7 linked regions of the Sus scrofa genome follow. The protein of the gene in region 1 interacts with the protein of each later gene in a pairwise test. Links are inferred from orthologs where the notes say so. Each region holds a gene or a part of one and is shown in the gene's direction. Other genes may lie near its edges.

Region 1 (3,745 bases):
GAAGTTTATGAAAATTAAATGAGAAATTGTTAAGCACTTTAAAAGCAATCCAACACAGTACACCTAGAAAGTTGATTGTTTTGGACTCCAAACATTTTGTTTGGTAGAAAGTGAGCAATGGGCTGAAAGAGGAGCCCCAGTGATTGAACTGTTTTTCTTCTTATTACAGCGATCTCTGAAGGGCACAAGTCAGAAAGCACCATGCCTCCTAATAAAGAGGCCAGCAGTCTTAATAGCTCCCCTGCGGGGCTCATCTGTCTCCCTCCAATTTCTGAGGAGCTACAGCTTGTGTGGACCCAAGCAGCCCAGACCAGTGAGCTGGATGGCAATGAACACTTGCTACAAACCTTCAGCTACTTTCCCTATCCCAGTTTAGCAGACATTGCCCTTCTCTGCCTACGCTATGGGCTGCAGATGGAGAAAGTCAAGACTTGGTTCATGGCCCAGCGCCTCCGCTGTGGCATTAGCTGGTCATCCGAAGAAATAGAAGAGACTCGAGCCCGTGTGGTCTACCATCGGGACCAACTCCACTTCAAATCCCTTCTCTCTTTCACTCATCATGCAGGGCGGCCCCCAGAGGAGGTGCCTCCTTCTCCGATGCCACCTCCAGAACAAGTGGGTCTTGGAATAGTGCCCCTGACTCTTAGCGAGCCCACCCAGAAGAAAGGATTGAAGGTAGAGCCTGAGGAGTCCTCAGAGCCACTGAGTCACCAGAAAGCAAAAGAGCCCCTGTTGGTACCTGGCACTGGGACATTCCCCCACCAATCAAACTTTTGGCAGGATCTTCAGAGCAGTGGCTTCTCTAAAGGGCAGGCAGGCAGGGATCCCGACCAGTCCCACGGCCTAGGTACTGCTTCCTGGAACCACTCCACAGCTGTCCACCAGCCCCGAGCTCGGGATAAGCCCCCGCCCATCTCATTACTTGCCAGTAGTTGCAAGAAGGAGTCCGCATCTAATGTGACTCCTCCTTCCTCTACCTCTTCTTCCTCTTTCCAGGTACTGGCTAATGGAGCTACTGCCACCTCTAAACCCCTCCAGCCACTGGGCTGTATCCCACAGCCACCATCACCCAAGGAACAGGCACTACCCCCACATCTGGAGCCAGCCTGGCCCCAGGGGCTAAGGCATAACTCAGCACCAGGGAGGGTTGGCCCTGCAGAGTACCTTTCCCCAGATATGCAGCGCCAGCGAAAGACCAAGCGCAAAACCAAAGAGCAGCTGGCTATCCTCAAATCATTTTTCCTACAGTGCCAGTGGGCACGGCGTGAGGATTACCATAAATTAGAGCAGATCACTGGTTTACCTCGGCCTGAGATTATTCAGTGGTTTGGTGACACACGCTATGCCTTGAAGCATGGGCAACTAAAATGGTTTCGGGACAACGCAGTACCTGGGGCCCCTAGCTTCCAGGATCCAGCAATTCCCACACCACCACCTTCAACCCGCTCCTTGAATGATTGGGCTGAGACACCACCTCTGCCGAATCCCCCACCCCCACCGGATATACGACCCCTGGAGAGGTACTGGTCAACCCACCAACAGCTACGGCAGAGCGATATCCCTCAACTGAGTCAGGCATCAAGGCTGAGCACCCAGCAGGTATTGGATTGGTTTGACTCTCGATTACCTGAGCCAGCTGAAGTGGTGGTTTGTCTAGATGAAGAGGAGGAAGAGGAGGAGGAAGAACTGCCAGAAGACTGTGAGGATGAAGAGGAGGAGGAAGAAGACGATGATGATGATGACGATGATGTGATCATCCAGGACTGAGTGGGGGGCGAGGGGAGGTCTGTTACTAAAAGATGAACCAACTTAGTAACTGTTTAAACAAAGAAACCACATTTTTTTATAATTACCTTGTGGCAAAGAACTGAAAAGCTTTGTGTTCTTGAGGGTCGGGACTGGGGGATGTAGTGAGGGAAACCAGGAAGGATGACCAAGGCACAAAGTGAGGTGGGGATTGGATGGGCAGGAATCCAGGCCTGCAGCCTCAATGAAGAGAGTGCCAAGGGTCTGGTCCAAATGATGGGGCCGGAAAAGGCTCTTGCTCTCCTCTCAGATCTGCCATACTTTTCCCTACTGTACTACAGAGAGGCCAGGCTTTGGCCCATGTCTATGGGGGAAGGCAAAGGAGGAGTAAAGAATTTTGATTCACTGATGATTCCAGTACATCCCCCAGTCCCACCATTTTCCCTGGAACATAAAGCTGCCTTGCACCCCTTCTTTTCTCTCCAAGCACAGGTCCTTGCATAATGCAGCTAAGAATCTCATGTCCCCATCAGTCACAAATATTTCCTCTCCCTCATATCAGCTTGACTTTATATGTTTTCCTGCTGCTTTTATCGAGTCACACAGGGAGCAGAATGTTTTCATTTCTGATGCTGGGACCACTATGCCTTGTACCTTTTTATCTTTCCAGAATCCCCATTCTGTTTATTATTTGTCTCAGGGTAAATCTTCCCCCCAGAGCTTGTGAAAAAGTTTAATAATTGGGTGGAGAATAATTTAGACTGGATATTTATTGGAGGTGGGATTTAGGCGAGATGTCCTTTTAAAAATGAATTAGATTACAGAGGGATAAGAGGAGAGGGAATGGTTTCTACTGTTTGGAAGGACGGTGAAGGTAGGTACCAGGTTTGGTTTTACAAACCTGACACTCCCTCCTGCCTAGCTTGACAGAGACTGATTTTTTATCTTTTTCATGTTAGTTTAATTTGTGTCCAGAGAAGAGACTTTTCCCTCTCTTGATAGGATCTGTCTTGGGGACAGAGGGACCATGGTCTTTAACTGAATTAATTGATGTTTTAGAATGGTTTTCATCAGATGGGGTCACCTATAACAATATCAGTGGGTTAACCATCTGGAAATAAAAGGTTGGAAGCCCCCAATTACTAGAATAATAATAAAAAGGCCAAAAATAAAATTGTTTCTCTCTCCTCCACTTTGCTACTTTAATCGTTTAGAGATTAATGGAGCCAAATCCATTAACTTTCTGATTTAGTATACTTTTTATTTATTTATCTTTTAAGCATCAGGATATATTGAGTTAAAGTAAAAGAACAAAAATTTTAAAAGACAGTAGATCAGTATCTATTACTAGGCAGACTGTTTCCTGCACTTGCTACAGCAGAGCCTCTTGCTCAGAAGAGGGGGAGTCTAGAAATGCCTTTAAAAATCCAATTCAGGAGCTCCCATCGTGGCTCAGTGGTTAACGAATCCGACTAGGAACCATGAGGTTGCAGGTTCGATCCCTGGCGTTGCTCAATAGGTTAAGGATCCGGTGTTGCCATGAGCTGTGGTGTAGGTTGCAGATGCAGCTTGCATCCCGTGTTGCTGTGGCTCTGGCATAGGCCGGCAGCTACAGCTTCAATTGGACCCCTAGCCTAGGAACCTCCATATGCTGAGGAAGTGGCCCAAGAAATGACAAAAAGACAAAAAAGAAAAAAAAAATCCAGTTTCAGAAAGGGTAGTGGGGTCCTATTCAGCTATAACGTCATTACCAAGACCTCATTTATTTCTGGCAGATGCTCTCTTTAACACTTTACCAATGTTTTCGCCTAAGGTATGCCTGCCAGTGGCCCACCCACTTAACTCCTCTTTTTTTTTTTTTTTTTTTTTTTTGGCTTTTTGCTATTTCTTGGGCCGCTCCCACGGCATATGGAGGTTCCCAGGCTAGGGGTCGAATCGGAGCTGTAGCCACCGGCCTACGCCAGAGCTACAGCAGCATGGGATCTGAGCTGCGTCTGCA
Region 2 (4,073 bases), on another chromosome or scaffold:
ATAGAAGACTGTTTCCAGAAGGAGGGAGCCTTCAGGGCTGTCCAGTGCGGCTCCAAGAGGTCACGTGAACCCAGCTCTTCACAGGCCTCCAAGGCCCTGCCAGCCTCCCCATGCTCCCGCTCACCCCTCTCCTTCTCCCAGGACCGCGAGGCCTCTTCTTCAAATGAGCCACATCTGTTCCCACTTTAGGGCTTTTGTGCTTCCCCCTGCAGCTGAAACACATTTCTCCTCAGCCTTCTCTCTGCTTGGCTCCATCACATCCTAGCCAGAGCACCCTTCTCAGCAAGGCATTCCCCGGCCACCTGCTCCAAGTAGCTTTCCCTTTGGGTGATTCTGTCACGTCTGCCTGGCTGGTGTTTTTTCCTTCAGAGAAAAATTCATGGTCTACAGTCACTGTGCTTATGTGTTTGTTTATTTGCTTAACGTCCAGATCGCCCACAGAATATAAGCTCCACAAGAGCAAGGCCCTTGTGCTCAGTATCGATTAAATGAAAAACAGCAACTTACTGAAGACTGTGCTTAATATCAGTGCATTTACTTAGAAAAAATACATAGCAGATATTTACATGGCAAAAAGTGAGAAAGAGTTTGCATCGAAATGTTAACAGTACTCTGAGTCCTGAGGTTTCAGATTTGGTTTTGTTTTTTTTTTTTTTTCTTTTTTTGTCTTTTTGTCTTTGTTTGTTGTTGTTGTTGTTGCTATTTCTTGGGCCGCTCCCGCGGCATATGGAGGTTCCCAGGCTAGGGGTTGAATCGGAGCTGTAGCCACTGGCCTACGCCAGAGCCACAGCAACGCGGGATCCGAGCCGCCTCTGCAACCTACACCACAGCTCACGGCAACGCCGGATCGTTAACCCACTGAGCAAGGGCAGGGACCGAACCCGCAACCTCCTGGTTCCTAGTCAGATTCGTTAACCACTGCGCCACGACGGGAACTCCAGATTTGGGGTTTTTTTTATTTTTATTTTGTTTATTCACATTTTTCTAATTTTTCAACAATGGTCGTTAATTACTCAAGGTTTTTTTTGTTTTTTTGTTTTGTCTTTTGTTTTTTTGAGGACTGCACCCACAGCTTATGAAGGTTCCCAAGGCTAGGGGTCTAATTGGAACTGTAGCCGCCGGCGTACACCTCAGCCACAGCAACACCAGATCCAAGCCACATCTGCGACCTACACGACAGCTCATGGCAATGCTGGATCCTTAACCCACTGAGTCAGCAAGGCCAGGGATCGAACCCACAACCTCATGGTTCCTAGTCAGGCAGATTTGTTTCCGCTGCACCATGACGGTAACTCCAAGTTTTTTTAAAGATATCTATTTGTGTCCATGTCTCAGGATCCCTTTGTACTGACCATGAAAGAGTTTTAACCCAGCTTGAAGCTGTGTCTATAAAAATGGAGACAGAGAGGCTTACTTACTAAAATAGTGACTAGTAACACTTGGTCTTTTCCTTTCAGGCTAAACTACTCTTTTCAGATGGAGAAAAAGTAATACCCAGATTGACCCATGAGCTTCCAGGGATCAAGGTCAGAGTCACCTGGGGTCTTAGAGGGGGGAGACCACTCAGACTGGGAGGCAGGTGAACTCCCTGGCTCCAGGGGAGGCTCTAGGTACCATGCATTTGTGGGGCCAGATATAAATAGCATCGTGCTGGGAGGGCTTCTGAGTCCCAGCTCAGGGAGGGGCTGAGGAGTGGTCCAGGGGCTCTGACTTCTGCAGCCCCATGGGACCCGAAGCTCCTGGGCATTGGCCTCCCACCAACTCCCTTCCCTTCTCCCGCAGCGTGGCCGGCAGGCAGAAGAGGAGGGTGCCCATCGGGGGAGCCCCATTCCCAAAAAGGTAAACCATCTCCTCCTTGTCTGGCCGGGAGAAGGCCCTGCAGCTGCAGAAGGGGCTGAGCTTCCTCAGCTCATCTCTGGTCCTCTCTAGCCTGAGGGGCAGGAACCTGGGAACCGTCACCCTCCCTGGTCACTCTCGAGGGTCGTTTGGTCTCATTGGAAGGGAGTTCCCTGGCGGTCTAGAAGGGAAAGCCCTCTCCCCTGGACGCCCCAGTGGGTGGGGGCTTCCCACAGGGTCAGGCCTCTGACAGCTGTTCTTTGTGGCAGAGGAAGGGACGGCCTCCTGGACACATCCTGTCGAATGACCGGGCCGCCGCAGGCATGGTGTGAGTAGGGGCCAACAGAGCCAGAAGGAGAGCGGGGAGGGAGTGGCCTGGAGGAGAAGAAGCCAGAGTTCTCTCCTGGTGAAATCACTCCTTCAGTGTAGGTCACCATGGAGGAGAGTTACTGTGGTCTGAGAGGCCGAGAAACATGGCAGTGAGGGGAGGTGATTTTATCCTGGTTTTGCCCCCAGAACAGTTCAGCCCAACTTCATTAAACACCAGAGGTTTTTTTTTTTTTTTTTTTTTTTAAGTCTTTTTAGGGCCGCACCCACAGCATACAGAAGTTCCCAGGCTGCAGCCGCCAGCCTACTCCACAGCCACAGCCACAGCAACATGGGATCTGAACCATCTCTGTGACCTACACTGCAGCTCACAGCAACACTGGATCCTTAACCCACTGAGCAAGGCCATGGATCGAACCCTCATCCTCCTGGATACTAGTTGGGTTCTTTACCACTGAGCCACAATGAGAACTCCGAGAGAGATATTTTTTTTTTATTAGCAGTATGTATTGAACACTTATCATGTGCCATAACTGGTCTAAATACCTTATGTATTGTGCCTTTTATTCCTTACTGGAGCCATTCTCTAGTAAGTAATTAAGGTATAATTAATTTTGGAGATAAGAAATTGACTCAGAATTATTTGCTCAAAGTCAGGCAGCTAATAACAGCAAAACTATACTACATTGTCTCCAGGATGGTCATTTTCAAAGATTTTGAAGCAACAGAATCTTTTCTTCAAACAGAACTTTACGTGGAAGCCCAATAGATAAAGCAGATAAAGCCACACGGGTCTGGTTAGGAGAGATGGAGGTAGTTTGAAACCACCAACTTAGGGGTTGGCCTCGTGTATCCCTCCCACCTTCCATCTCTCCCTTTCCCGGAGCAAATTCATTCCTTACTCACACGAGGTAGGGAGTTGCTGCTGTTACCTCCTTCTGTCAGATGAGAAAACTGCAGCCCACATGCTGGGTGATGTCAGAGCAGATCCTGGGGTGGCTCCTGGTGCTGTGGGGTCCCCAGTACACCCAGGCTGGAGTGAGAGTGTGAGGAACTCGCAGCAGCAGCAGACTTGCTTTCAGTCTAGCCTGATCTTGGAGAATTCACCCCTCTTCTTTCCTCCCGATCAGATGGAAACCAAAATCCTGTGAACCAATTCGCCGGGAAGGCCCCAAGGTATGATGAAGTGAGCGCAGCTGGCAGCACACGCCAGCCTAGGCGGACTCAGTCCAGGCTCTGGGCCCCACCTCGAGGGAAAGGGCCTGGGCTGGGGGACGAGTGCACACCCTTCCAGACCGTTCCCCCCCATCCCACCTCCCAACGCTGGCCTTCCAGGAGGATCCCAAGGAAGGATTGACATTAGGGGCAAAACTAAGAAAGGGCTTTGTCTTTGCTGAAGCCTTCTCCCAGTAAAACTAGTTGTCACTCTTCCTTTAGTACTTAATATGTGACAGGCGCTGCCCTGAATCTTTTGTATGGATTACATGATTTAATCTTTGTAACAACCTTATGAGTTAGATTCTGTTACCCCTCTGTGGTTCAGGAGCTTTCTTTCCCACCTCGTGGGCTGGAATAATCTCATTTTACCTAATTATCTTATACACTTGATGCATTCAAGGTTACAGAGCTGCCCAAGGTCATGTACCAAGTAAGTGGCAGAGCCAAGGGTCAAATCCAAGACTGTTGACACCGGAGTCTGTGTTCTTAGCTGTTAGCCTCTGTTGCCTACAGAACAGAAATTTGCAGGCTTTTTAGCAGTAGAATCCTTTCTTCAATTAAAATCATACCTGGAAGCGCAGTAAGGTGGATGCCAGCTCCTCTGTCCCCGTAGAGCTGCATCCCATAGAAGCCATCCACTCCTTGTCGTCCTGGCCCTCTGCGTTCACGCCAGTGACCACGCCTTCCTTCTT
Region 3 (4,073 bases), about 37 Mb from region 1:
ATACTAGTCAGGTTGGTTAACCACTGAGCCATGACGGGAACTCCAATACCATAGTATTTTAATCATTGTAGTTTTATGATATATTTTGATCTTTGGTCCTTTCTTTCTGAAACACACCTTTTTCTTGGCCTCCAGCACTTGACACTTGTCTGTTTTTCTTTCTATTTTTCTGGCTACTCCTCATTCTCCTCCACAGATTCTCTTTCTGTTCATCCTCCAGACATTAGTGTCTTCAGTATCTTATTTATTTATTTATGCCTTTTTAGGGCCGCACCTGCAGCATATGAAAGTTCCCAGGCTAGGGGTCAAATCGGGGCTATAGCTGCCTACTTTTTAGGGCTGCACCCATGGCATATGGAGGTTCCCAGACTAGGGATCCAATTGGAGCTGTAGCCACCAGCCTACGCCACAGCCACAGCAACACTGGATCCTTAACCCACTGAGTAAGGCCAGTGATCAAACCCTAGTCCTCATGGATGCTAGTCAGATTCGTTTCCATTGAGCCATGATGGAAACTCTGAGTTGAGTTTTCAATAAGTTGAGTTTGCTGTTCCGTTGGACAGTGAAAAGATATTTAGGAACATCATTAGAAATAGAAATATATGTATTTGATAGTCATCAGCAAGGGGGCAGATAAGATCACCCAGGGAACTTGTATAGAGTAAAAATAAGCTAGGAGGGAGTTCCTGTTGTAGCTCAGCAGAAATGAAACCAACTGGTATACATGAGGATGCAGGTTCCATCCCTGGCCTTGCTCAGTGGGTTAAGGATCTGGCATTGCCCTAAGCTTTGGTGTAGGTCAAAGATGTGGCTCCGATCCCATCTTGCTGTGGCTGTGGTGTAGGCCAGCAGCTGCAGCTCTACTTCAACCCCTAGCCTGGGAACTTTCACATGCCTTTTTACGTGCGGCCCTAAAAAGGCAAAAAACAAACAAACAAAAACCCCAGAAAACTGAACTCATCTTTTCTCCTTACTCATTCCCCAATAAACCTGGTCCTCCTCTAGTTTTCTCTCCTTCACTGGGTGGCATAACTGGCCATAGAGTTGATGAAGTAAAAAAAAATCTGCTTGTTTTCTTGCCAGTCTCTCTCTATCTCTCCTCCTATTCCTGGGGTCAGCCATCATGCTCAACTGACCTCTTATTCTAGGGCTCACCCATTTCTCTCCACCCCACTGTGACTACTCTAGTTCAGACCTCTTTCACCATGCACTTGGGAATTGCAGTTGCTAGCTCTAACTGGCATCCATGCCAGCTCCTTTATCTATTCTGTAATCAAAATACCTACACTGTAGCCAGTGTAGAGATTAAATTTATAAAATGTAAATGTAATCATGTCAGGCCCCTACTTAAACCTTTCAAATGTTCCCCTACTCTCCTACAGGATATAGTTCAAACTTTGGCTTTAGAATGGTTTATAAAGCTTCGCCATGATCTGGCTCCTGTTTGTTCATCATAGCCTTACTTCTTCATAAGCTGAACTCTTTTTTATTCCTTGAAGAGAGGATGCTCTTGTATCTCCAGGTCTTGTTAAAAAACAAAATTCAGGAGCTCCTGGTGTGGTGCAACAGGATCAAGATTGGTGGCATCTTGGGAGTGCTGGGACACAGGTTCTTCTATCCCTTGGCCGGCACAGTGGGTTAAGGACCCAGTGTTGCCCCAGCTGTGGCTTAGGTCACAACTGCGGCTTGCATCTGATCCCCGGCTTGGGAACTCCATAAGGAGAGTGGTGGCCTAAAAACAAAACAAAACAAAAATTCAAACGAGTAAATTTGAAGATATAATTGGCTTTATTCAACAATTCATGAATCAGGCAGCATCCCATCTAGTTTAAAAACAAAAACAGGCACTCTGAAGGACTGTTGAAAATGGATGACTTTTATAGAAAGGAGGGCAGGATGAGGTTATTAGCAAAAAGAAAGAAAGGAATGGTCACCTACCGTTAGGGGGAATGATAGGGGGTTTTATCTTGCAGATTACCTCACTAGGGCAGACTAGGAAATTCCAGACTGGTTAGTTTAAAATTCTACTCCATGAGTTCCCGCTCTGGCACAGTGGGTTAAGGATTCGGGGTTGCTGTAGCTGTGGAATAGGTCACAGCTGTGGCTCGTATTTTATCCCTGGCTGGGGAACTTCTATATAACGTGGGTGCAGCCAAGAAAGGAAAAAAATAAAAATCCACTCTAGGTGAAGCTGAAACTTCGATTAAGTTAGGTACTAATTCTTGGTGAGATTTAGCAGAAGTGATTCCATTTGGGGCTTGTTTCTTTTTTTCTTTGTGATTTTTTTTTTTTTTTTAGGACCGCACCTACAGCATATGGAAATTCCCAGGCTAGTGGTCGAATTGGAACTACAGCTGCGGTCCTAAGTCACAGCCACAGCAACTTGGTATATCAGCGGCGACAGCGACCTACCCCGCAGGTCTAGGCGATGTCGGATCCTTAACCTATTGAGCGAGACCATAGTCGGGTTCTTAACCCGCTGAGCCACAACCGGAACTCTGGAGCTTGTTTCTTTTTAACAGTCTCCGGGACTTTAACAGTCTCCTCTTTACACCTTCCTCTTTACACATCCTGCAGGTCACACCCCTCGCTCCCACTCCCTCTAGGTTAAGCTCTCCTGTTCTTCGTGTCCACAGCCCACGTACACCCTACTGTATAATTCATCACACTGCATTCCATCTATAGGCACCGAACCCTCTGAGGACAGCGCCTGCCTCTGGCTTGTTCGTCGCAGAGTCTCCAGCACCTAGGACAGGGCCTGGCGCGAAGTAGGTGCGCAGCGAATAGAGACTGCGGGAGAGAACGGACGCTTGCGGGCGGTTGTCCTTTGGAAAGCAGCGCTAAGTGGCTGAGAACCCGTGGTTTCTCTGTTGGGGAAGGGCTTGGCGTACCCGCCTGATGTTAAGGTGGGGAACGCCAAGCTCAACTCTTCACCCAGCCTAGCCTACACCACAGTACACGGCGCTCCGCCCCTTCCGGCCCGGCGAAACCGGAAGTAGAGGCGAAGGTTTCCCATGAGGCTTCGCGGGGCGCCTATTCAAACTGCTCCGAGAGGAGGAAGGAGGTCGTGATGGCGGCCCCGGAGCCGGAAGTGCAGTCCCCGGTCGCAGTCTCTGGTAAGGCGTGGGGTCCGGAGCTCCAGGAGTCTTAGGGACCTGTTTTCGCCCTGCCGCCGCTCCCTCCAGTCAATTAGCCCTGGCCCTTTCTCTAGCTCGTCTTCCTTGTCCGGGTTTCCCAGCATCCCTCCCAGTTCTGATCCGGCCCCATTGACTGTGTCACCCCCACGGCCCTTGATCCCATTGGCTTACCCCACTGCGTCTTCACGGCGGGTTCTGGACCCTAACTACACTCTCCGCTCTTTTTCCTAGATCAGGGCCTCCACTTTTTGAGCAGAGCCCCAGTCATTGCCTCCGAAATCCTCCGCTCGTCCCGTTTAAATCTCGTCATCTCTTAAAACCTCTTAGGCGAGGAAATCTCGCCACCGCCCACAGGGGAGTTTGCGGAATCTCTCCGCCACCGCCCACAGGGGAGTTTGCGGAGATACTGTGAATTGTCGGGGTGTCACCTCCGCGGTGGTAGCTGATGTCGCCGCAAGAGAATGAGAAGACTGGTTTTGGCCTTTTAAGTTTTTCATTTTTCTCTTTTATCTCTCCGTGCCCCAACTAGGTTTGGAGTGGTGTGAGAAGTCGGAGGAAACCCACGACCCCCAGATAGAACTACTTGAGACTACTTCTGCCCAAGAACCTCCCAACCCTTCGGAGCCCCTTCGTCCCAGAGACTGCATGGTGCCAGTGGTGTTTCCTGGGCCTGTGAGCCAGGAAGGCTGCTGTCGGTTTACTTGTGAACTTCTAAAGCATATCATGTACCAACGCCAGCAACTCCCTCTGCCCTATGAACAGCTTAAGCACTTCTACCGAAAACCTTCTCCCCAGGTAGGCTTTGGGAGAAAATTGGTGGGGAGACTATGGCTATTAGATGGTAGGGAGTTAAAAAGGGAGTCTAAGGAATCCTCAGGGCCTGTCAGCCTAAGTAGCTGTAAGCGATGTTTCTCAGTCCCTTTTGCCTGCTCTGGG
Region 4 (4,831 bases), on another chromosome or scaffold:
TTGTTTGGCATAATAATAAAGCTACCAGGTTGTTTACAGGTGCTAGGTAAGGAACATAGCTAAGAGGTATACAATAATTCAAGTTGCAATTATCAACCACTAGTTAAGACAGTGCACAATGCTTTTAAATATTTATAGGCTGTCTTCATACAGCTTCAAGAAAGCAATCTAATACTCTTTAACATCTTTTAATGAGATGTTAGAACAAGACACAGACACTTTATATTGCAAAAGAAGAATAGGTATTTTTTCTACTTGAATGAATACTGGAGTGACCATCAATCAAATGAAGGTTCAGCATCAAAAATAACTGGCTATTTTCTCCAAATCGTCAGCTAGGTAGACTGTTTTTTAAATAATACTTCTGGTCAGCAAGAAAGATGATCCTAAGAATGAACAAAAATAGCCTCTGTTCAACAGCTGTGATGTCTATAATTTATAAGATGTGATCATCTCTCATCAGATTGACTTGATGGCTAAACAAAAATGGATGTATGCTCGCCATTGGTATATTTGTCACTTCTCGGAAAACAAACTTCTGTTACATCTTATTCTTTCTGATAAATATATTTCTCTCTTTACATAAAAATAGTGAGATGAAATTTCCTGTTTGGGGAATGTGACCTTGAAACTCTACTGTCATGCACAAAGTTAAAAATGTTCAGTTAATCCTTAAACACTTATTCCCAATCAGCAAATAATTTTTAGTCACGGAAAGAGGAAATTTTGAAGACTGGGACACAGTAGGAAGCAAAGAAGGGAGAGAGGAGGAAGTGAGAACCACTTCATTACTATATTACTGTATCTTGGCAGTTTTTAATGCTTACCACCTCCCCCCACTTCAATCTTTACCTTTAATTTGTGCCTTTATATTGCCCTAGCTCACCGTAGTACTTCGTCCCTTATGTATCTTACTTTCCATGCTCTCTTCATTTCCGTCACTGTTTCCCTTTTGTACGGCTCCATCACAAATTATTTATACACTATTTATATAGGTATGTGCTAAAATACAATCAGGTAACTCTTGGGTCTGATTGTTCCGAGAACTTTGTCCAAATTAGTGAGAACTGAGAACTCTAGAATGGAGGGTCTCCATCTGTAGCTCAAAATGATTGAGAATGAGGAAGTACACCGAGGTGGGTCACTGAAGCCAGCACACAATTGGGTTCTGTGTGTGTGTCATGACCTGTATCATAACACTGAACCTGAGACTGGAGAAACTTCCTTGTAGCTCTCCTTAGACTGACCTTCGAGCAAGGTCGTTCACCATCGCCTCCCGCCCGGATCCCTTAGACCCCTAAGCTGGTTTTCACACCCCTCTTTCCTCACACTTCAGGCCTGTTTCTCTTCTCCACCTTCAGCTTGCATCTCTCCGCATTTGCTAAGATTCGGCCCAAATCCCACCCTCATTTCCACTCCTTCGGGTTCTCCTCACCGCCCCGCCCCCAGATAGCGGGGCACCATCCGACCGCCACCGCCTCCCGCGCACACCTGTAGTCCTCCGACCCTCCCTCCACCCGGCCTCCTGCGCCCAGCCCAGGGCCCACCCTGCGCGCCCGCCAGCTCCGCACACCTACGTCCCCGCGCCGGCTCTGGCCGGGGGTGTGCGCTCTGCCCACCCGCTCGAGCCCCCGCCCCGCCCACCTGCTCGCCCTCCCGCCCCCCGCCCGGCCCTCGGCGCCTCCGGGCCCCCGCCCCCCGCGGGCCCGCTGCACTGTGGGTAGGCGGCGGCGGCGGCTGCGGCCGCACTGAGGAGTCCGCCGCGGCGGCGGCGGAGCGAGGCTGCGCGCGCCGAACATGGCTGAGAAGCAGAAGCACGACGGGCGGGTGAAGATTGGACACTACGTGCTGGGGGACACGCTGGGTGTCGGCACCTTCGGCAAAGTGAAGAGTTGAGTACGCGCCGAGGCCGTTGCTCCGGGCTGCCAGCCTCGCGGGAGGCCAAGCCCGGGAGCCCGGGGCCGCCAGCAGGCAGTGGGTGGGCAGCGGGCGGCGGGGCCTGGCGGCAGGTGGAGCGGCCCCACCAGGGCCGCGCGGAGCCCGGGGGCTCCGGGAGGGCAGCCGTCACTTCCTCGCCCCGCGGCAGCGGCCGGGTGAGGGGACGCGGGAGGGGCGCAAGCGTCCCGGGGTCCAGGGCCGCCGCCCACCGCCTTTCTCGCAGTCGGGAGCGAGACGCTTCTCCCGCCCGACTTCAGTGCCCTGCTCTGTGACACCGGGAGACTGGACTGTTGGGCAAGGTGCCTTCCTGCTGGGAGACTGTACGGGTAGGGGTGGGGAATGACACGCGTTCCTGGTAGTGGAGTTTCCATTTTTGCCAGGTGCCCCGTTAGGTCCTTCACAGGTGATCTCCTTTGAGCCTTAGGGCAGATGCAGGTGTTATCCTCACCTTAAACGCGAGAAAACAAGGACCCCCTAGGGGTTTAGGAACATGCTCAAGGTCACACTGGGATGTAGGTCTAAAATGTCCTCCAGTTTGGCCAGCTGGGAGGTCCCTGCCGTCCGAGTTCTTTCGTGCTCCCTTGCTGGGTTGGTGGGGCTGAGAGTTTAGGGGGTGCTCCCCGAGCGAGCGGTTGGGTGGGTCTTTCTCCTGGCTGGAATGCAGCTGCATTGGATCGGGGTTAGTTACAGCTGGGAGGTCTGAAGGTTGGTTGGTTTGTGTAAAATGGTCCTAGGAAGGCTTCTGGGATGCGGGAGAGAAAATGCGGTCCTTGGTGCTGGATCTTGGGGGATGCCGGGCTGAGGCCAGAACTGCTAAGGCGTTTGTGCTCTGCTGAGGTCTGTGTTCTTGGTGATGCGGTCCCATTTTGGGGTGTAGAAAAACAGGTTGCTTTTGAATTATTTTTACTTCTTCCTAGTTAAGTATTGAACGTTCCTGTTTTTGTTAATAAGAGTCACATGGATTTAATTAATTTGTCCCCCTCCCCCGAACTAGAACCGGCTATTTAAAAATACTTCTCTTTTGATTGTTGCAAATCCATTACTGTAAGTGTAGTTTGCCTCCCCCCCCCCCTTTGCTCTAGAAATGTTGGTTAGGTAGTTTGTAGATTTTATGGAAACTTCTATTTCCTCAAAAACTGATGTTTTAACTTTAAATTAAGGCTGTTAAATGTTTATTTCTGTGGCACGGACCAGCTCTTATTTACTTCCACATGTCTGATATCCTTTCGTTTGTTCAGAACGCACTGATTGAGTGCCTACAGTGTTTCAGGCACTGTTCTAGGTAATGGGGATACCCTAGAAACAAAATCAGATTAAAATCTCTCCTTTTGTGGTGCTTTAATAAATTCTTGTAGGGGAAGACAACAATTCCTTTGTGTATGTATATATGCGTGTATATGTATGTATATATGTGTGTATGTATATATTTGGTGCCCTTGAGAAAAATGAATGAGAGAAGAGAGGATAGGGAATTTTGTGAGGTTAGCAATTTTCAATAAGTTTATCAGGCAAGGCCTCACCGGCAGGGTGGTATTTATCTAAAGACCTAAAAGATTTGTAAAATTCTTTGACGTACTGTGAGAGCTGTGAAGGCTTTTAGTTTTGAAAGACTTTATAGAGTGGACAGTTAGGAGAATATATTTAGAATGACTATAGACTCAGGAATTGGATTAACGCTTATAACATTACTGAGGCCTCTTGTGTTTTGATGTTATACACCCAAGCCTTTGCCATCTGGACAAGTACACTCTCCAGGTTATATAAGGTACCCTGCGCCCTTTGAAATTGTTAACATTTTTGTTTGTCTTTTTAAATTTTTCTGTAATCTGAATGTTGACTAAAACACCTATCAGGTCAGTCAGCCCATTGGCACAAGACAACTTAAGTCTCTTTTGTATATACTTTTGAGCTGCTTCTAGGCACTGACGACTTAAAATGTAAACCATCAGAAAAAATGCTTTGATTTATGAGAAATACTTTTCCTGGAAGCCCCTGCCCAAAGAGCAGCCAATTGGAGGAGATGTTTCTAACACTATACTAGGGCCTCTCTGCAGTAAGACTGTGGTTTCTCATCCAAGGTTATAGACTTAGTACAATTGCTTAATAAAAATTATAGAAGTTGCTACATCTTGAAGTTAGTCATTTACCATTGACCCTTGAACAGCACAGATTTGAACTGCATAAGTCTACTTCTACAGATTTTTTCACTAAATATGTACTACGTAATACATAGTCTGAGGTTGGTTGAATCCTAGAATGTGGAGCCATGGATATGGAGGGCTGACTGTAAAGTTATACATAGATTCTCAACTGCCCAGGGTTCAGTGCCGCTAACCCTGGTGTGGTTCAAGGGCCAGTTGTAATTCTTCAAGGGACAGGAAGCAAAAGCACATGCATTTTTAAAAACAGCTTTATTCAGGCATATTTTACGTATCATAAAATTCACCCATTCCAAGTGTACAATTCAGTGATTTTTTTAGTAACTTTACCAAATGGTGCAACCATTATCGTAGATCAATTTTAGAACATTTTCATCACCACAGTAAGATTCCTTATGCCCATTTGTAGTTAGCCCTCAGCCCTAGAAAACTGCTAATCTGTTCTCTGGATCAGTCTGCTTTCTCTGGACACTTCTTGTAAATGGGATCATTCAATATGGAGTCTCTCATGTCTGACTTTTTAATGTAACAATGCTTTTGAAGTTTGTGCATGAATAGCATCTGTCAGTGGTTTGTTCCTTTTTATTGCCAAATAATATTCCATTGCCTTTTCAGTCACCTGTTGATGGACTTTTTTTTTCTGTTTTTGGCTGTAACAGATAGTGCCACCACAAACATTTGCATGCAAGTCTTTGTGTGGCCATTTGTTTTCATAGAGCTTAGGTAGATACCTA
Region 5 (3,448 bases), on another chromosome or scaffold:
ATTTTAGGAGGTCCATTCTCTGCCTTTAGGAAAGTAGTAGTTGCTGCCAAGTCGCCAGCATCCTGGAAAAGGAAAAGAATGTTCCTTGAGCTGTCTTTACTTAGGTGGTTTCAGTTGCTCTTTAACTCAACATACCAGATTAGAAATGAACAAAAATTTATATAACTTGGAACTCAGAACAAAATTATGCTCTGTGATTCAAGGATATTTGGATATTTAATTTCCAAAGTAGCTCAGTAAGACAGAACCATCTTCCTAAGGGCTTCTGTAATGAAACCTTTGGAATAAATGTAAATCTTGCGCCTTCTCTAAGTTGTGAATGGACTTTTATCCTATACCAGGATTTAGTCTAGACCAGGGCTTTTCAGCATCTGATACTTGGGGTATTTGAACTGAATAGTTGCTGGGGCTGCCTTGTTGGTTGTAAGGTGTCTAGAGCACCCCTGGCCTCTGCCCTCTTAGCATGACAACCCACTGTGCCCCCTTTCAGCACTGCCAGCTGTCTCCTGGGGGCGGATTCTCCCCTGATTGAGAACTGCTGCTCCAGACCAGCCTGCTGAAAGCGAGGATTCAGGGCAGAGGTATTCTCAGGCCACAGGGACAAATACAAGACCACCCAAGATCTGTTTAGGTCAACAAGGAGGTTAAAGACCCAGGGTAGCTGGGAAGGAATCCTTGGGACCAAGTCAGAGTTAGTCCAGACCTGTCCCTTTCCATTAGATGACGACATGCAGGATTATCAAGAGTTGATCACAGCTAAGTCCGTGGTCTAGTGGCTAGAGCTTTCATAGGAAGCCTTTGGGACTGAGCGGTCCTGGGAGGCCTGCTGCCCTCTCATTCTCCTGTACATTCATCTCTAGCTAATGTAAAAGAAAGGGAGTTCCTGCTGTGGCCTAGTGGGTTAAGAACCCAACTGCAGCAGCTTGGATTGCTATGGAGGCATGGGTTCGATCCCTGGCCCGGTGCAGTAGATTATAAAGGATGGGGCTTTGCTGCAGTTGTGGCTCAGACTCAATCTCTGGTCCAGAAACTTCCATTGCCATGGGTGAGGCCATTTAAAAAGGGGTGGGGTGGGGAAAGAACTGCTTGGTTGTGACACATTTCTTGCTTTAAAGCCTGCATTACTTTAAAATGTCACTTGTTCCCTTCAGACTGAAATCAATTTCTTGCCATACGGGACAATTTTAGAGAGAATTGATAGGGCTGTGGTGTTTTGGTATGATCACAGAGGTAGTTTCGGCTCTTTGGGTGCCAGGGAAGAAATATTCCCTTGAATTGGAAGTTGTAGTTTGCAAATAGGCACACCTGGATGACAGCATAACTTGTAGCAAAAGTTTTGGGACAGGTAATTGGTATGAGACTTAGCTATGTGACAGTGCCTTAGGGCAGGGCCATACTGCTCATGGTGTGCCCCCTCTCCCAGATGCCCTCTGTGCTTGTTTTAAGTACAGACTCTCAGGCCTCAGCGGAACCACTGCATCAGGATCTGCAAGTTCTCTGGGTAATTGGAATGCATGTTAAATTTGATGAAATGTAGTCCTAGACCAGGGTGTTTCCATGCCTGCTCCCTGGTGTGTGCTATGCCTCCTGGCTATGGCCTGTCAATCAGGTCAGTGTTGTAGTTGCACTAGCTATGTTGTCATCCTTTTGTTTCCTTTCAAAGCTTTTAAAATTTAAGTTGATGCCCCCATTAGTCATTTCATTTAAAAATAATAGCTCAGATTCAAAGGCAGGTCTTTCTCAATCTTTGGTACTTTAATTTCGGAAGTAACAATCCCATGCATATTTTGACCTTCTGTTGAGCATCCTTGCTAAGGGATGGACAGCTTTCCAGTGCAGTTTTCTCTGTTTTTTTAAGTGGAGGAGAGCAGTGGTATGGATATTTCAAAGTCCCGTTTTCTCATCTGAAAATATATGGTTTTTTCTTCTAATACACATAGCTGAATCTAACTTTGTCTCACTTGTAAATCATGGGCCACAATTTATTTTCATTTGGAGCTCAGTGTATTTGACATTTCCTTAAGGATGTGTTTAAAATTAGCTCATATTTGCTTAATGAAATTTGCAAAATTAATGACAAGTGTAAACAGGCTTCAGCGGAGTGAAAAGTAACCTGTTTTCAAATAATTAAAACAGCGAATCCAGTATGCAAAAACAGATTCTGATATAATATCTAAAATGCGTGGTACTTTTGCTGACAAAGAAAAGAAAAAAGAAAAGAAAAAAGCCAAAACTGTGGAGCAGACTGCAACCACCGTGAACAAGAAACCTGGTCAGGTAAGATGGGCAAATGTTCATATTTTTTTGGTGTCAGAAAATTTGATAGTTCTTTGTCTTCCACTTGAGGGGTGATCTTTGGGGCATGCTTGTGCATCTCTGTGTGTTTGAGGTGGATTTTTAAGAAGCTAGAATGGTTGAGTTCTAACATTTGTAGATTTGTGTTTAAGCAACACATTATAATGTAAAACTTTACTTATGGCAGATATATATTAAACAGTTTTATTTGAATTTGCCTGACATTTGGTTCCATCATTCTCCAAAATATGTTAATATCTATTGGCTTATTTTTCAAGTTCTGTGTATAAATAATGCTATAGATGTTACCTTGTAATCATGAGTATTCCACTCAAAGCTGCTTTCTTTGAACAGTTCAGGAATTCAAAATCTAATTCAAAATACTAGATAAAGGTGAAATTATCATCCAAAAAGTAGTTACTTTGAGATTGAAAGTGATTACAAATCAGTTTTACTAAGTATGATTTTTTGCTTTTTTGTGTATTTAAAAAAAAAAGTGAGAAAGACTAGTTCTTGGCTTTTCTCTTATATATTTCTCCATAATTTTAAAGCCTGGAGGTTGAATTTTATGATATAGTCTAAAGTTAGGGCTAGACCTTTCAAAAATATTCTACTATACATAAATGTTTGAGTGAGTTTTTGAAATGTAAATTTGCAGCAAAAGTAAGGTAGAATAAAAAAATCTGTTAATCATACTTTTATGCAGTAATTATAAATGTAAATATCTGCTGGGGTTTTTGGGGTTTTTTTTGTCTTTTTGCCTTTTCTAGGGCCGCTTCCTGCGGCCTACAGAGGTTCCCAGGCCATGGGTCTAATCAGAGCTGTAGCTGCTGACGTACACCACAGCCACAGCAATGTGGGATCCGAGCCGCGTCTGCAACCCACACCACAGCTCATGGCAACGCCGGATCCTTAACCCACTGAGCAAGGCCGGGGATCGAACCCTCAACCTCATGGTTCCTAGTCGGATTCATTGACCATTGAGCCACGACAGGAACTCCGTGCTGGGTTTTTTTAGAAGGGTTGGAAATTGTAACTTTCTCTTATTTTTTTTGGCTTAGGGAACACCAAATTCGGCTAATACCCAAGGAAATGCAACACCAAATCCTCAGGTAATATTATTTTTCCATGTGATACTTATTTTAAAATAAAA
Region 6 (4,073 bases), on another chromosome or scaffold:
CTTAGTCCTGGGGTACTCCTTTCAGGCCTTTGCCCCAGTCGTGGCCACTGATTCCTCTCCCCTGCACCCGTAGGGCCACGGTTCCACTTTCTTAATCTCTTCAGCCGTTGGCCTGTTCTGCTTCCCCGGCATGCCTCGCACAGCCCTTCACACACTTTCTGCTCCATTCTTGTCTCTGCAGTGAGACTAGATTCTTGGAGCCCAGAGTCCATTTTTGGAACTCTGCCCAGCACTTGCCACAGTTGGGACCCCAGAGGCCTCAGGCTGGCATTAGCCTGTGCAATCCAGAGGGTTGTTCCAGAAGGGCTTCTTGGAGAATGGAGGAAGGTTAGGAAGGAGCAGTGGGGAGGGGGCGGGAGGAAGGTTGGAAAGGGACAGGGAGTCCAGGCCAAGGCAGGTCTGGCTTGGGAAGAGCTGGTTACCAGCCAAGAGCAGGAGTCTCCACCATTCTGGGGGGAAAGGGAGCAGGTACTTATTGAGCCCCTACTGTGTATAATATATGCAGATCCCAGCACATGGATTGTGCCATTTCCTCTTCCCACGGGAAAGCTATTAGGGCCATTTTACATGCAAAGAACCTGAAGCTCAGCTGTTAGCTAACTTATAGAGAGCTGAGTTAGCCCCTGCTCTGCCTACTTCAAAGTCCTGGTTTTCTGGTCTCTTTGGGTGCACTGACTCAGCACAGCAAACAAGATGAAGCTTTCCAGGCTACATTCTTCACCATTCGGAAGATGCCGGGATGCCGGCCTTTTAGCACGGGATTTGCAAACCCATGTGAACATCAAACATTTCTTGCTGCAGTAGTGGGCCACAGCATCTCTTCTCAATGCAACATTCAGGGATGAGAGCTTGTGGGAGGTACCATGAAAATCTGCAGCACTATAGATCAGGGCTTTCCTTTTCTCTTGCTCTCTCTTTTAAGTTGAGCCTGTTTACCAGCACACAAGTGCCTATAGGCTTCAATGATTAAACTACATGTCCAACTATATATATATATATTTTTTTTTTTAACTTTTTTTTTTGGGGGGGTGCTACCCTGTGGCACATGGAGTTCCTGGGCCAGGGATCAGATCCGAACCTCAGTTGCAACCTAAGTGGCAGCTTTGACGATGCCTGTGCTGGGCTGAGGATGGAAACTGCCTCCCAGCACTCCAGAGATGCTGCTAGTTCTGTTGTGCCACAGTGGGAATTCCTCCAACTATTTTTAAATGTTTGTAGACAGTGTTGTGATGAGTGAATTAGAAGGTCATTTACTACATTATGTCATTTTGGTTAACACATACCAAAAACAACTATTGTGGGCTTCCTATGAAATATTTTCTCCAGGTCTGCTGTGGGTCTGTGCCCATACATTTCATAAAATCTCTCGTTTCCTTTAACTGGAACTTCATACATACACACACCATTTCTGTAACCTTTATTTTCCCATAACCATACCTCTCTACAAGTTTCTGATGCCTACAATATTGGAGGTTAGTTACAGCTTGGAGGTTGAGAGCATGGATTCTGGATTCACATCAGCCTGTGCCTATTATTAATTAATTGGGCAAGTTATTTAACCTCTATGCCTCAGTTTTTGTACCTGTAATATGAGGATACTGATACTTTGTTTGAGTTGTTTGGAAGATTGAGTAATTCTGTGTAAAGTACTTAGAACAGTGATTCTGTATGTGCCATTAACTGTGTGAGTGCAATTATTACGAAAATAGGTCTTTGACTCCTTCTGGAATCCTGAGACCAAGGGCTGTGGGGCAGTCTAGCCAGCAACAGGGCACTGCAGGAGGGCGGTCAGGGCTGGCATACTCCTCACTCAGCGCCTCTGCCCTCTCTCTTCTCTCCCCAGGCTGCTGCCCTGTTGGCACATTACCTCCTAGGCCTCCCTTGCCCTGAGGGGTGAGCTGATTGGGATGGTACCCCGGGAAGCTCCTGAGTCCACCCAGTGCCTGTGCCCTTCCCTGGGGAGCTCCAATGCCAAGGATGTGCTTCGGAGGAAGCACAAGAGGAAGAGCCGACAGCACCAGAGGTTCATGGCCCGGAAGGCCTTGCTGCAGGAGCAGGGGCTGCTGAGTGCACCCCCAGAACCAGGATCCTCTCCACTGCCCATGCTCTTGGATGCTCCGCCAGGCACAGAAGCTTCCAGCAGTGTGAGGCAGCGTCCAAAGGCTGAATCTGGAGGTGCCCCCTGCAGCAGAAAGCCCACCCCCAGGGAATCTGCGGGGCCCTTGCCAAGCAAGTGCGTGGCTATCGACTGTGAGATGGTGGGCACGGGCCCCCGGGGGCGGGTGAGTGAGTTGGCCCGCTGCTCCGTGGTGAGTTACTATGGCGATGTCCTCTACGACAAGTACATCCGGCCTGAGATGCCCATCGTGGACTACCGCACTCGCTGGAGCGGCATCACTCGGCAGCACATGCGCAAAGCCATCCCCTTCCAGGTGGCCCAGAAAGAGGTGAGGGCAGGGCTGGGGCTTTGGGTTAGTGTGATGGGCTGCAGCAGTGCTTTGCTACTATAGGTGAGAAGGGACCTTGAGAAAGTTACTTAACTTCTCCAAACAATGGCTTCCTTCACAGAACAGGGTGGATAGAGGGCTTGCCCTAGAGCATGGAAGGAGTGCTGGGGTATTCCTTGTGACAGTGTTTGTGAACAGGTTGTGCTAACTGTAAGATGCAAAGCAGCTTACATGCCACATTTTTTCTTTTGTAAAAGTATTACATATCTGTATAAAATGTGTAGGGCCCATAGTGCTGTCACCTGCGGGTATTAATTTGTTTCGTTTTTGTTTTTTGTTTTTTCATTGTTTTGAAAAAAGTAGTGTTGTGACCACAACCACTAGGAATTCCCAAATGTCCTTGGAACATAGGAAACACTCAGATCTTTCGTGTGTGTGTGTGTGTGTGTGTGTGTGTGTGTCTTTTTAGGGCCGCACCCATGGCATATGGAAGTTCCCAGGCTAGGGATCGAATCCGAGCTGTAGCTGCCAGCCTACAGCAGAGCCACAGCAATGCCAGATCTGAGCCATGTCTGCTACCTACACCATAGCTCACAGCAATGCCGGATCCTTAACCCAGTGAGCGAGGCCAGGGATCGAATTTGTATGCTATGTTTACTGATCGAGTTTGTTACTATTGAGCCACAATGGGGACTCCCTAAGGAAACATTTAGATCTCAATCCACAATCTTGGATCCTTGTCCCCACCTCCCTCTGCAGAGATTCTGATCCCACAGGTCTCTAGGTAGGCCCTGGGACAGCTCTGATGTGTCTATCCCTAAAAACCAACATGCTATGCAACTTGCACGACAAAAACCTCAGAGCTGATGGGAAAAATGGGGTTAGGGACACAATGCTCAAAATAAAAAGCAAGAAATCTAATAATAGTGGCAGCACAGTTTTGCCCAGGGTCACTGGCTAAGAAATGCATAAATAAACCAGTAGTATGGCACTTTGCCTTGAAAAGGCCTGGGGTACTGGGGGAAGTGGATGTCAGGAGGGTGGGCTTGCGCTGTGGGAAGGAGGGAAGGAGTTAACTGGAAGTCAGGAGGTGGGAACACACAGGTGCAGATGGTAGGCAGGTAAGCTGAGCTGGCTGGTAGCTATGGGGGGCGTGGGCACTTTGTGGATTCCCCAGTGGCTCAGCTCAGCTGGGTGTGGTGTTGGCATTCACTTAGTGTTTCCCAAGGGCGAAGTTTGCATTATTCTCAAATCATGTCCTAACATATCAACTATAACCTCCTTGGAACACTTTGTAATTTTTTTCTTTCTTTTTTTTTTTTTTAAGGGCCACACCTGCAGCATATGAAAGTTCCCAGGTTAGGGGTCCAACTGGAGCTACAGCTGCCAGCCCATATCACAGCCACAGCAACACAGGATCCTAGCCAAGTCTGCCACCTACACCACAGTTCATGGCAATGCTGGATCCTTAATGCACTGAGTCAGGCTGGAGATCAAACCCACATCCTCATGGACTTGTTGTTAACCACTGAGCCACAACAGGAACTCCTGCAATTTCAAACCAAGTGTTGTAACAGAACTATGTAACATTTCTGGTTTATTCTTGGGATTAGGTAAATTTAGTGA
Region 7 (4,708 bases), on another chromosome or scaffold:
CTAGTCGGATTCGTTCCTGCTGCTCCATAGTGGGAACTCTGAGGCCTCACATTCTTATAACATTTTCTCCATCCCTATAAATCATGAGTCTTGTCCAAGTTTTACCATATTGTTCACCCAATTCTTACCTATTCTTTTTTTTTTAATTTAATCCTACTTTTGAAATGTCAGATAAAATGTGGGTAATATTTTTTTTAAGTTTAAAAATGTAAATGAGTAAGACAGTATAAATTACAGCAGGGGAAACTGGAATTATAAATGACTGTATAGGAGTTCCCATCATGGCTCAGCAGAAATGAATCTAACTAGTACCCATGAGGATGCAGGTTCCATCCCCAGCCCCAGTCAGTGAGTTAAGGATCCAACATTGCCATGAACTGTGGTGTAGTTGCAGACTTGGCTTCGATCTGGCACAGCTGTGGCTGTAGCGTAGGCCAGGGGCTACAGCTCCGATTCAACCCTGGCCTGGGAACTTCTATATGCCTTGCTCGGTGAGTTGGGGGTCCAGGATTGCCATGAGCTGTGGTGTAGGTCACAGATGCGGCTCAGATCGCACATTGCTGTGGCTGTGGCATAGGTCAGCACCTGAAGCTCTGATTCAACCCCTAACCTGGGAACTTTCATATGCCAGGGTGCAGCCCTAAAAAGAAAAAAAAAAAAAAGATGTGTAGCAATTAAGAGGGTGGGTTCTGAAATCAGGCAGCTGCTTAAATTTGTACCCCAGTCTAAACTCCCTGGTGTGTTATTTCTTGATGCCTAAGTTTCTCCATTAGTAAAATTAAGTAATAATTATACTTGGGTTACAGGGCTGCTGTGAAGATCAAAAATTCCAATATTTTGTTCATTAAGGATTTTTTTTCCACATTAAATTCGTAAAAGATTGCATTACAATTTTTTGAATTGTTAGGAGTTTTGGTGCCCCTTAAATTTTTCGCTCCAGGGAGTGCCTCAACCACCATACTCTAGCTCCATTCTTTGCATTTTACATGCTTGACACACAAGCAACATTCAATAAATGAGCTGAATTTACTTATCTCCCAAAATTTTTGAATTGAGGTAAAATAAACACAGAAGAGTGAACAAATATCAAATGTATTGCTGAGTTCCCTAATTGTTCAGAACAGTCTGCTAAACAGTAAAAGATGTCTTTCCTTCTTATCTTCAGGTACTCAACCAAAAGAAGTTTTGGTTTTATGATCTCTTTTTTTCTTCAGCTCTCTTCCCCCGGCTCTCTTTTCCCCCTGTAAGTTCCAAAAGAATTCCTTGACAAAAACAACTCCAGGCCGTCACACTTGAAAAAAGGAAAATATTTTCCGGGAGGACTGCCTTTGATGTCAAGGTCCCCCTCACGCCCCGAGGAACGCGCTCAGGAAGGCCGCCCTCTTCCACGCAGAATCGCAGTTTGCGCATGCGCTTCTACTTGCCAGGCCGCAGAGATGATTTTTATGCCTTCCCGGCACCCTTACGTCGCAGAATGGTGATGTCAAGATTTGCGCGACGGAGACTTTTTGCCGGAAGTGGAGGGGAGAAAGTGTTGCACTCCACCGGGGGGTGGGGGTCTTCAAGTTCAGTGCTGGGGGCTAATTATCGCTAAAAAGCTCCGAGGTGCTCTGGTGGCTTCAGTTCCCTGCTTTGCCAGAAAAGGCTAGAACACGCGCGGAGGTGTGTTTTTGGTGTGAGTAGGCACGCGTCGATGGTGGGGTAGGAGGACCTCAATCGTCAGAAGAACTTCGCACTTCTGTCTGGCTCGCTTTCAAAGGCGTTTTGAACGCCTAGATTTTTGTCTGGTTTATCTCTGCCATGGACTTGCTCTGTATCCTTCCCTCCAACCCCCACCCAAAGTGTCAGTATCCTCATCTCCAAATTGAAGGGGAGTCACCTCTCAGTTCTATTATTTCACGGCTATTGTGTCATCTGAGCCACAAAGCCTTGGGGGTTAAATGTCGACCTCATTTTATAAGGAAGACATTGAATCCCAGGGTCAGCGGTTTGATGGCTTATTGCACAGGAAATTCTGAAACTGAAGGTTTCAGACCTTGAGACTGAAAGATTATAACTCCATGATCAGGCCTCCTTTGTGTATTTCTGTATCATCAATTCCTGAAACTGACTTATGGAAGTTGTTCAAAAAGTTCTGGATGAATGAATGAATCTTTTGATGTTAAGGCTAATGACCCAGGTAGATCTGGTGTCTCTCCATCTCTCTGATGTATTAACAAGCATAACTCTTTTCCAGGTGTGTCCTGTGCTTTATTTGACTGGGACTCTGAATCCGGTTCTGTTGCTTTCAACTTAAACAGATAGCATGGAGGCACCTCCAGTCACTATGATGCCTGTCACCGGGGGCACCATTAACATGATGGAGTACCTGCTGCAGGGTAAGTGAACTAGGGAGCTTAGATTACCTGATTTCCTCTTTTCTGTTCAGGTTCCATGGAGATGAAAGGCTAATATACAAAGGCTACATAATTTCTGGCACCTCTTTTTTTTTTTTTTTTCAATTTGGCTTTAATTATGGTCACAAACATATAGCATTAAACATTTTGAGCATAACATTTAGTAGTGTTAAATATGTTTGCATTGTTGTATAGCCAATCTCTAGAACTTTTTCATCTTGCAAAACTGAAACTCTGTACTCATTCTTCCTTTCCCCTCCCCCCAGCCCTTGGCAACAACTTTTCTACTTTCTTTTTTTTTTTTTCTTTTTTTATTTTCTTTTCTGCTGAACCTACGGCATATAGAAGTTCCCAGGCCAGGGATCGAACCCACACCACAGGAGCAGCTCTGGCAGCTACAATGACAACACAGGATGAGTAACCCACTGCACCACAGGAGAATTCCAAACCTTTCTACTTTCTGTTTCTAATTTTGACTACGTTAGATAACTTTATATGAGTGGAATCATATGGTATCTGTCTTTTTATGACTGGTTTATTTCACTTAGTATAATGTCCTCAGCGTTTACCCGTGTTATCACACGAGACAGGATCTCCTTTCTAAAGGCTGAATAATGTTCTATAGTATGTATATACCACATTTTCTTTATCTGTTCTTCTGTTGTTGGACATTCAGGTTGCTTCCACCTCTTGGTTAACATGGATAATGCAGTGAACATGTGTATGCAAATATCTCTTCCAAGATCCTGCTTTGAATTCTTTTGGTTAAATATCCAGAAGTGAAATTAATGGATCATATGATAATTTTATGATACTATTATTAATTCTTGTAGATCAGGAAATAGAATTGAAGTAACTTGCCCAGATGAGAAAGCTCAAAACTCAGTGTAATGATTTTCAGGAGGCCTTATAATGTTTCGCAAAAAAGTTTAGACTTTGAATTATCCATTTAAGAACTTAATATGGAAGTTCCCGTCATGGTGCAGTGGTTAATGAATCCGACTAGGAACCATGAGGTTGCAGGTTCGATCCCTGGCCTTGCTCAGCGGGTTAAGGATCTGGCGTCACCATGAGCTGTGGTGTAGGTTGCAGACACGGCTTGGATCCCACCGTTGCTGTGGCTCTGGCGTAGGCCGGCGGCTACAGCTCCTAGATTAGACCCCTAGCCTGGGAACTTCCATATGCTGGGGAGAGGCCCTAGAAAAGACAAAAAAAAAAAAAAAACTTAATATGAACGAAGTAGGGTTATTAACTTTCATTCTTCCAGCTGTCCCTCCTTCAGTCTTTTCCATCTTAGTAAGTGCCTGTCATTCACCAGTTGCTCAAGCTATGAATTCAGGAATCAATCTCCATTTTTTCACTTTATTCTCACCTATAGCTTATCTCTAGTTCTGTTTATTTTACTTCCAAAATATATATTAAATATGTCTTTTCTCCACATGCAATGGCTTGGTTTATCATCCTTTGAACTATTTTAGTAATTTTGTGCTTATTGCATTGCTTCCACTTTTGATCATCTGTCTCTTCTCACACAATAGTTCAACATCTTTTTTTGGGGGGAGGCAGTTTTTTAGGATCCTTAACCCACTGAGCGAGGCCAGGGATCGAACCCGCAACCTCATGCTTCCTAGTCAGATTCGTTAACCACTGCGCCACAACGGGAACTCCAGTTCAACATCTTTTTTAAAAAATGTTTTATTATTAAAAAATTCAGGGAGTTCCCGTCGTGGCGCAGTGGTTAACGAATCCGACTAGGAACCATGAGGTTGCGGGTTCGGTCCCTGCCCTTGCTCAGTGGGTTAACGATCCGCGTTGCCGTGAGCTGTGGTGTAGGTTGCAGACGCGGCTCGGATCCCGCGTTGCTGTGGCTCTGGCATAGGCCAATGGCTACAGCTCCGATTGGACCCCTAGCCTGGGAACCTCCATATGCCGCAGGAGCGGCCCAAAGAAATAGCAAAAAAAAAAAAAAAAAAAATTCAAACACAAAGAAAATAGAGACTGATAGAATGAACACTCAATTTCTGTCATCTTGATTGTACTTTCTGTTATTTTTTTCATGTTTGCTTTATCCTTTCTTTTTTTCCTGTCTTTAAATACAATTTCAGACTTCATAACATTTTACCTCTAAACACTTTCAGTATACAGCTCTGAAAAACAAGGGTTTTTCATAACCATAATACCATAATACCATCATAATACCATAATCCTTCATAACCATAATACCATCATTTTCTAAAAAAATTAAAATTTTTTTTTTTTTTTTAGGGCTGGACCCACGGTATATGGAAGTTCCCAGGGTAGGGGTCAAATCA

Evidence for each region.
Region 2: the proteins of HOMEZ (region 1) and DNTTIP1 interact in binary tests that used the Homo sapiens proteins (3 or more experiments, as listed by UniProt). The two-hybrid records come from large-scale screens. The link is inferred for Sus scrofa from reciprocal best matches to the Homo sapiens genes HOMEZ and DNTTIP1.
Region 3: the proteins of HOMEZ (region 1) and MAD2L1BP interact in binary tests that used the Homo sapiens proteins (3 or more experiments, as listed by UniProt). The two-hybrid records come from large-scale screens. The link is inferred for Sus scrofa from reciprocal best matches to the Homo sapiens genes HOMEZ and MAD2L1BP.
Region 4: the proteins of HOMEZ (region 1) and PRKAA2 interact in binary tests that used the Homo sapiens proteins (3 or more experiments, as listed by UniProt). The two-hybrid records come from large-scale screens. The link is inferred for Sus scrofa from reciprocal best matches to the Homo sapiens genes HOMEZ and PRKAA2.
Region 5: the proteins of HOMEZ (region 1) and SNRPB2 interact in binary tests that used the Homo sapiens proteins (3 or more experiments, as listed by UniProt). The two-hybrid records come from large-scale screens. The link is inferred for Sus scrofa from reciprocal best matches to the Homo sapiens genes HOMEZ and SNRPB2.
Region 6: the proteins of HOMEZ (region 1) and AEN interact in binary tests that used the Homo sapiens proteins (3 or more experiments, as listed by UniProt). The two-hybrid records come from large-scale screens. The link is inferred for Sus scrofa from reciprocal best matches to the Homo sapiens genes HOMEZ and AEN.
Region 7: the proteins of HOMEZ (region 1) and MED18 interact in binary tests that used the Homo sapiens proteins (3 or more experiments, as listed by UniProt). The two-hybrid records come from large-scale screens. The link is inferred for Sus scrofa from reciprocal best matches to the Homo sapiens genes HOMEZ and MED18.

The regions. Positions count from the first base shown.
Region 1 is NC_010449.5:75,795,095-75,798,839, forward strand, and holds the end of HOMEZ (homeobox and leucine zipper protein Homez), read left to right. Parts: intron 1-169; coding exon 170-1,767; 3' UTR 1,768-2,933; downstream 2,934-3,745. UniProt on the Homo sapiens protein: May function as a transcriptional regulator.
Region 2 is NC_010459.5:48,007,855-48,011,927, forward strand, and holds part of DNTTIP1 (deoxynucleotidyltransferase terminal-interacting protein 1), read left to right. Parts: intron 1-1,457; coding exon 1,458-1,526; intron 1,527-1,782; coding exon 1,783-1,839; intron 1,840-2,105; coding exon 2,106-2,164; intron 2,165-3,293; coding exon 3,294-3,339; intron 3,340-4,073. UniProt on the Homo sapiens protein: Increases DNTT terminal deoxynucleotidyltransferase activity (in vitro). Also acts as a transcriptional regulator, binding to the consensus sequence 5'-GNTGCATG-3' following an AT-tract.
Region 3 is NC_010449.5:38,616,029-38,620,101, forward strand, and holds part of MAD2L1BP (MAD2L1-binding protein), read left to right. Parts: intron 1-2,685; 5' UTR 2,686-3,070; coding exon 3,071-3,116; intron 3,117-3,666; coding exon 3,667-3,932; intron 3,933-4,073. UniProt on the Homo sapiens protein: May function to silence the spindle checkpoint and allow mitosis to proceed through anaphase by binding MAD2L1 after it has become dissociated from the MAD2L1-CDC20 complex.
Region 4 is NC_010448.4:155,751,161-155,755,991, reverse strand, and holds the start of PRKAA2 (5'-AMP-activated protein kinase catalytic subunit alpha-2), read left to right. Parts: upstream 1-1,747; 5' UTR 1,748-1,797; coding exon 1,798-1,891; intron 1,892-4,831. UniProt on the Homo sapiens protein: Catalytic subunit of AMP-activated protein kinase (AMPK), an energy sensor protein kinase that plays a key role in regulating cellular energy metabolism.
Region 5 is NC_010459.5:25,367,641-25,371,088, forward strand, and holds part of SNRPB2 (uncharacterized protein LOC768116), read left to right. Parts: intron 1-2,136; coding exon 2,137-2,277; intron 2,278-3,356; coding exon 3,357-3,407; intron 3,408-3,448. UniProt on the Homo sapiens protein: Involved in pre-mRNA splicing as component of the spliceosome. Associated with sn-RNP U2, where it contributes to the binding of stem loop IV of U2 snRNA.
Region 6 is NC_010443.5:191,205,267-191,209,339, reverse strand, and holds part of AEN (apoptosis-enhancing nuclease), read left to right. Parts: intron 1-1,843; 5' UTR 1,844-1,907; coding exon 1,908-2,447; intron 2,448-4,073. UniProt on the Homo sapiens protein: Exonuclease with activity against single- and double-stranded DNA and RNA. Mediates p53-induced apoptosis.
Region 7 is NC_010448.4:85,382,611-85,387,318, forward strand, and holds the start of MED18 (mediator of RNA polymerase II transcription subunit 18), read left to right. Parts: upstream 1-1,474; 5' UTR 1,475-1,675; intron 1,676-2,236; 5' UTR 2,237-2,305; coding exon 2,306-2,378; intron 2,379-4,708. UniProt on the Homo sapiens protein: Component of the Mediator complex, a coactivator involved in the regulated transcription of nearly all RNA polymerase II-dependent genes.